Linked DNA regions of Sus scrofa. The protein of the gene in region 1 interacts with the protein of each later gene in a pairwise test. Links are inferred from orthologs where the notes say so. Each region holds a gene or a part of one and is shown on either strand. Other genes may lie near its edges.

Region 1 (3,647 bases):
CGCCCACCCCCCGCGGGGGTCCCTCCTGACAGCAGACCATCGGCCGCGGCCGCCAGGACGCAGGTTTCCCCCGGCTACACGAAGCCGCCGTCCCGGAGGCCGAAATAGCCGGCGTGGACGGCATCCCCCAGCGGGAACACCTGCTCGTGGTCCAGGCCCCACTCGCCCTCGTCCTCGTCCTCCAGCTCGGGCTCGGCGGCGGCGGCGGCGGCGGCAGCGCGCGCGTTCTCGTACAGGAAGATCTGCTCGTCCACGTGCGCGGGGGCCAGGCGGTTGCGCTTGGCGTGCACCGCGTTGGCCGCGGAGCAGAAGAGGCGCTCGGGGAAGACGCGCGTGGCCGCCACGCACCAGTACTTCTGCAGCACCTTGGGCAGCACGGGGAAGAGGGCCAGGCGGTCGGACCACCACTTGAGGGGGTCCTCGTTGAGTCCCAGCACCTTCTGGGACTTGAAGTTGCTCAGCTCCTCCACCACCTGCGCGTGCCACTCCTCCTGGTCCTCCACGCCCCCCGTGGGGCAGAAGATCTCGGCCAGCATGGTGTTGATGACGCTGGTGGGCGGCGGCGTGGGCGACAGCGCCGGCTTCTTGGCCGGGGGCTCCTCGGGCATCGGGTAGGGCTTGTCCTCGGGAGCGCCGCGGTAGCTGCCGTCCTTGACCTTGTCCAGGAGCCCCTTGGCTTCCTCCACCACCCTGTTTTCCACCTGCTGCCTCTCGAAGGCCGACAGGAAGGGCAGCCGCTTGTAGCGCGGGTCCAGGAAGGTGGCCACGTTGAGAAACATGTCGATCTCGGGCATCTCCTGGTAGGTCTTGGAGAGCTCCTTGGCAATGACCTCCTTGGCCATGCTGATCTCCTTGGAGTCCGTCTCCTTGATGGTCAGGGTGGTATTGAGGAGCATGTGCAGCAGAGGCTTCACCATGCTGATGGTCGGGTGCCTGGAGGCCGACAGCATCTCGGCCACCTGCTTGAAGGGCTGCAGCAGGTCCACCAGCCCCTCGATGCTGGCCCACTCGGCCGCCTCCAGCATCAGGTGGTGGTTGTTGCTGTCCTCCAGCAGGACGCCGGCGATGGCGAACTGCTGGTCCTTGAGCCGCTGCAGCATGGCCAGCGTGCTGCCCCACCAGGCCACCCGGTCGCTGACCAGCATGCAGGGCGCGGCGTGCTGCTGCTTCTGCTTCTCGTACAGCAGGTACATGGCCACGGTGGACTGCTGGAAGTACTCCACCAGCTTGCGGCAGCGGGCCAGCAGCGCGCCCAGCTTGGGCAGCCGGAAGGCCTGCTGGAGGCCGGCGTCGAACGTGTGCGCCAGGCAGGGCATCTGCACGGTAATGTCCAGCAGCGAGCAGGCCTTGGCGACGTCCTTGCCGCGGTCCGTGGTGGCGCCGAACACCTTGGAGCTGACGCCCCACTCGATGAAGGCCTCGTACAGGACGCGGGTGATGGTCTCGGCCGCGTTGTCCTCGGGCACCTCGAAGGTCTTGAGGCAGCGGGAGCCCAGGGCCAGGCCTTGCGGGGCGGCCCCGCCGCCGCCGCCACAGCCGCCGCCGCCGGAGAGGAAGTGCGCGGCCAGGGTCACGTAGGTCCGGTTCTGGCTGGGGCTGCGCCACAGGTCCGTGGAGACGCCGCACCACGCGGCCTCCGCCAGCTCCTTGAGCACCGCGTCGCGCACGGCGCCGTAGCGCTCGGGGATGGCCTTGCTGCAGAAGAACTTGCGGCTGGGCAGCTCGTAGCGCGGCTCGGCCGTCTTCAGCAGCCCCCTGAAGGTGGGCTCGTCCACGATGGACGCGGGGTACAGCCCCTCGCAGATGAGGCCCAGGACGGCGGCCGTCAGCTCCTGCTGCTTGCGGCCCTCGTGGCCGTGCGCGCCCTTGGCGGCCAGCGGTTCCTGCGCGCTCTGCTGCGCCGCGTCGGGCTTGAGCTTGGAGAAGGCGCTGGCGAAGGCCTCGCGCATCTGCTCCGTGTTGCTCTTGACGAACTCACAGAACTCGTCCGGGTGGTTCTTCTCCAGGTGGTACGAGAGATTGGACGTGTTGCCGGAGTAGGCGATCTGCGCCATACAGATGCGGCAGTAAATCTTCTTCCACTGCAGGATGCAGCCCTCGGCGTTGGTGTCGAAGCCGAAGTACCGCCACACCTTGCTCTTAGCGCGAGGGTGCGCCACGAGTTTGAGGTCGGCCTGCGCGCCCTCCAGGCTCTTGGCCTCCATCGCGCCGCCGCCAGCACCGCCGGGGCCCCCGCCGGGCCTCTGCTCACTCGGGGTGACCTGCCGAGAAGCAGCGAGACAAACACAGCGTGAGAAGAGACGGGGGCTCGGCCGGCGGGGAGCTGGCCCGGGCGGCGCGGCTTCGGAAGCGAGGGCGCGCGCAGAGGGACCCGGGGTGGGCGCGGTGGCGCGTGGCTTTGGCAAAGCGGAGGGGACGTTCTGACAAGTGAGCGGCTCTTCCGTGCAGGTGCGTCTGAAGACACGCATGTGTTACCTTTCCCTTCTGGATCGGCTGTGGACTCCTGGTCACACTCTGTCCTCACCCGGCCGCTCTACCAAGTTCTGTGCTAGGAACTCCCCCCGCCCAGCGCCAGCCAGCAGGGCTGGTTTTCCAGGTGGAGGCCGCGGTCGCAGGGGCCACGCCAGCCCAAGACCCACAGCCCGCGCCTGAAACCTCCCCGTCGGCAAGCACGCAGGTGACCCGCCACCAGGGGAAGTGGCTCAAATCACATGAGTTAGCACAAGCAGTGGGGAACTTGGCAGAGGCAGCAAAGAAAAGCTTGTTTGAGTTTTCTGTTTTTAAATGATGCCCTTTTGACCCCAACGAGATTCCACGTTTTGTTCATCAAAAAGAACACAGATAACACGTGTTGGGGAGGGGGGAAGAAAAGGGAACCCACCTACACTGGGTGGGAACGTCAACTGGTGCAGCCACAATGGAGGACAGGATGGAGGCGCCTCAGGAAATTCAATACAGAGCGACCGTAGGATCCAACGATCCCACCCCCAGCATCTAGCCCAATAAACCAAAAACACTGGTGTGCAAAGCTCCCTGCACCCCAATGCTCACAGCAGCACTGTCTACATTTGCCAAGACACAGAAGCAACGTAAGCATCCACGGATAGAAGAATGGACAAAGAGGAGATGCTGCGTGTGTACAATGGAATATTACTCAGCCATAAAGAGGAATGAAATCATGCCATTTGTAACACCATGGAGGGACCCAGAAATGATCATGCTAAGTGAAGGAAGTCAGAGAAAGACAAGTATCGTATGATATCACTTATAGGTGGAACCTAAAACTTAAAAAAAAAAAAAAAGGAGTATAATAGAAACAGATTCACATTTACAGAGAAGCAGCTAGTGGGGGAGAGGGAAGGGGAGGGGCGAGAGGGAAGGGGAGGGGCGAGAGGGAAGGGAGGGGCGAGAGGGAAGGGGAGGGGCGAGAGGGAAGGGGAGGGGCGAGAGGGAAGGGGAGGGGGCGAGAGAGGGGCAGGAGATTAAGACGCACGCACCCCCACGTATGAAAGAAGTAATTAAGCTGCGAGCATACAGAGCACACTGGCGTGGAGCACAGGGAACCGTGCCCACGATTCTGTGATCGTCTACGCGGGAAAAGAATCTCAAAGAGAATGCATGTGTGGACAGAGATCCCTGAGTCACGC
Region 2 (3,647 bases), on another chromosome or scaffold:
GGGGGTTACCCCTCCTTTTGCCTTAATGTGGAATTAGCCCCTCTGGGGACTTCCATTTCGCCTGGGTTTCCTTTCTGCCTTCTGGGTCCAGGCGGCTAGTGGTCACTGTGGTCTCTGGGCTGCTTCTCTTTCACGCCTCCTCTCTCTTTCTCCCTCTACCCTACCGCCCCCCGCAGAACTCCACCTGGAAGGGAACTTCCTGCACCGTCTGCCCAACGAGGTCAGCACCCTTCAGCACCTCAAGGCCATTGACCTGTCCCGGAATCACTTCCACGACTTCCCCGAGCAGCTCACCACCCTGCCTGCGCTGGAGACCATCAATCTAGAGGAGAACGAGATTGTAGGTGAGTGCACCCAGGCTGCCTGGCCCCTCACCGCCCTCTGTCTGCAGATCCTCCCTCTGAGCTCCCCTTCCTGAGTGGGGATCACAGCGCACGAAGGCATGGGGCTCTGAGTTGGGCCCCAAAGACAAGAGGGCAGGGTTGGGCTTTCTGGTGTGAGATTCCTGAATACAGGGCACTGAGCTTGGAAAGGTAACCATTTGGAGCTGTGCCACCTGCCAGGGGCCAAGCGGGTCCCTGGCTTCCACTTGGCAGGTAGAAGGTCTTGGCTTTCCCCTCAGCAAGCCCTGTACCAGCTGGGCCACCTTGGACTACCAGCTCTCCCTCTCACCTCTCCATCTGCCAGCCTTGGCTGCCCCCAAGACCCTCCGCTAGGACCTCTATACGTGGACTCCAGCCCAAGTCCCTGGCTTCATAGGGAGCTCTTTGCCACTGTGAAGTAGGAGCCACTGGGCAGATGTGTTCTGCCTTCCAGGACAAATATACTCCCCCTAGGGACCCAGGGGGTCTCCTGCTCTGGGTTGGAGATGTGCCTTCTGCAAACAGGAGACACCAGTGAGCTGGGTCCCTTTCTTCCTTTTGTAGCAGTTACGTAGCTCTCAGTCTCATCAGGACCCGAGCAGCCTCTCCAGCTGCTGTCTATTGTCTCCAGAGAGCCTGGTTCCCGCAGGGTTCCTCCACGCCCCTCCTCGGTTCCCTCTCACAGCTGCGCTGGTGCGCTTGGGGAACCCATCTCCAGCCCCATTTCACCCTCTCTCATGTTGCCTCTAATGTTGATGGTTAGTAATAACCCCCTTCAGTGATGCTTTTATTTCTGTAAGCACTCTCACAGCCATTATGCCATTTGATTAAAAGCAAGAGGTCTCTAGTGTTTTGGAGCTGTTTGATGGAGAGCGGCCTGCCTTGTGCACTGATGAGCATCCCAAGTCTCAAGAATGCTGCTGGCTGAGTGGGAGGTGGGACCAGCTAACCTCTGAGCTTTGAGGTCCATCCTTTTACAGATGAGTAAACTGAGGCTCAGAGAGCTTCAAGTTGCACAGTGAGACCGCAGAAGTGCCAGGACGAGAATGCATGAGGCTAAAGCTCACCCCTGTGCTAGGAATGGGATTCCCTTGCCTGGCCTTGGGCTCTGGTTTAGTTTTACCCTCCTGAGACCAGGATCCCTGAGTGGCTGGTCCCTGGGTTGGTCCCCTTGGTACTTGCGCCCCTGTAGTGTCTTTAAGTGGAAGAAGCACGTCCAGAAGTGCCTTTGCACTGCAAGGCTCTTCCTTCTGTGATGTCCTGCCCTCTGGGGGTCTCATCCTGAGCCCTTCATTCTCAGCCAGGCCCTCCTCGCTGGGCCCTTCCTCCCCTGCCTACTGTTCTTGGAGGCCACTCCTGATGCCTCCACTTCCTTCCACTGCTTGTCCAGATAGGACAGTGGCTGATCCAGAGGGGCTACTTCAGGCTGATGCCAAGACCAGAGCTGGGTGTGTAGTTATAGGCCGGCAGGTCAGGACAGGTATTGGCCATTGGCTTCCCTGCTTCCTACCTTTGGAAGACTCCCATCCCCTCTGTGGGCTTCAGCTGCTTCTCAGCTTTCAAACAGAAGTTCTCCCTGCCCTCCTCAATCCCCCATCCTATAAGGTGGCTTTTCCCCAAGCAGGAGAACAGGGCGAGCCTATGCTGGCTGCAAGTACAAGAAGTGACTCTCCTCGGAGTTCCTGCCATGGTTCAGCAGGTTAAAAACCTGATGTAGTGTCTGTGAGGATGTGGGTTCAATACCTGGCTTTGCTTAGTGGGTTAAGGATTTGGCATGGCTGTGAGCTGCAGCATAGGCCACAGATGCGGCTCAGATCCAGCATTGCTGTGGCTGTGGCATAGGCTGGCAGCTACAGCTCTGATTCAACCCCCTAGCCTGGGAACTTCCATATGCTGCAGGTGCACCCTAAAAAAGAAAAAAAGAAAGGAAGAGACAGAAAGAAAGAGAGAGAGAGAAAGGAAGGGAGAGAGAGAAAGCAACAGCTCCTAGAGCAAAGATTGGCTGTTTTGACTTATTCTCTCATGTGCATATCTCTGCCTTTCCGAAGAGTGACAGTAAAATGCTACACATGGAAGCATTTACGGTTTACCAAGAAAGCTCGCATGCAGGCCCAAGGCAACAGGGTGATCATCCCATTTGAGAGATGTAGAAACTGAGGCACTAAAACTCTGCCCAGCCTTCATGGTCAAGTGTCTCTGGCACACCTGGCCAGGTAAAAGAGACATCAGCCACTGGGCTGTGCTTCTCAGCCAGTTCAGGCTGTGATGCAGCCCCATGCTGCCCAGCCTGGGGGACATGGAGATGCTGGGGGCTGACCCAGTTCACTCAGAGGCTCCCAGAGGTGCTTGGCTGACCTCAGGGTCTGCTCCATTGCGGGAGGCCATGGGTGCGCTCCCCTCACCAGGTGGAGAGAAGCGGCACATGGAGGCAGCTATGGTTCCCTTGCAGGAGATTCCTCACTTCCTGTTCCCCGATCCATCCTAGTTATAGGGATGGCTTTCTAACTCCCTGACCAGCGGAAGGCCAGGCCACAGCCTTCACAGCCCAGTGGCGGGGAGGAGGGCTGCAGTCCTCGCGAGGAAGGTAAGGGCTGCACAGTCTTTTGCTATGGAAATAGCTCTGCACTGGTTACCGCTTGTAGCTGATCTCCTGCAGGATCTCCTTGGGATGATTGCAGTAGGAGCTCAGAATTTCCGAATGGCTTATTTTTCCCCTATGGAGCCCTAAGAGGGTATTGGAGATTTTTAAAAATGTTTTTTAGAGAAATAAATTGGAGATGCACTAGCTGCCTTTAAGCTCTCCTTCAGTAAGTAGAACACAAGCAGCTCTGCAACAGGCCCCCGGTGCAGCCGCAGACACCTCCAAAGGGAGCGCCTCCAAAGGGAACACCTCCAAAGCTGCCTCCAGCCTGGAAGGCCTGGAAGCTGCCAGGGCAGCAGCATCACCTTGTTTGTGAATAATGCCGCTGCCCGGTCTGCCAGCACTCTCTGAGCCAAGATGTGGGGAAGCAGGTGAGGGCTGCAGTCCAAGGAGAGGGCACGGGACCTCAGCGGGTCTGTTGGCTGGGAGGGACGGGGACACTGCTGCCTGCTTTCCGGTCTAGTCATTGGCAGGGGGAGGGTGCCAGTCCTTGGTACTCACCATAGTGAAATGTCCTCTGGTCACAGATCTGGGTAGAATGTGGTGGCCTCATTACTGCCACCTTGTACAGACAGTCCTCTAGTCTGGGTGTGTGGTGAGGTCTCTGTGTCCCCTCCTCTCCAGAGTCACCCTGCTCCCTGCCC

Evidence for each region.
Region 2: the proteins of ZBED1 (region 1) and LRRC20 interact in binary tests that used the Homo sapiens proteins (3 or more experiments, as listed by UniProt). The two-hybrid records come from large-scale screens. The link is inferred for Sus scrofa from reciprocal best matches to the Homo sapiens genes ZBED1 and LRRC20.

Annotation. Positions count from the first base shown.
Region 1 is NW_018085344.1:625,698-629,344, forward strand, and holds part of ZBED1 (zinc finger BED domain-containing protein 1), read right to left. Parts: intron 2,265-3,647; exon of another isoform or gene 2,262-2,264; 5' UTR 2,205-2,261; coding exon 75-2,204; 3' UTR 1-74.
Region 2 is NC_010456.5:73,237,521-73,241,167, reverse strand, and holds part of LRRC20 (leucine-rich repeat-containing protein 20), read left to right. Parts: intron 1-176; coding exon 177-344; intron 345-3,647.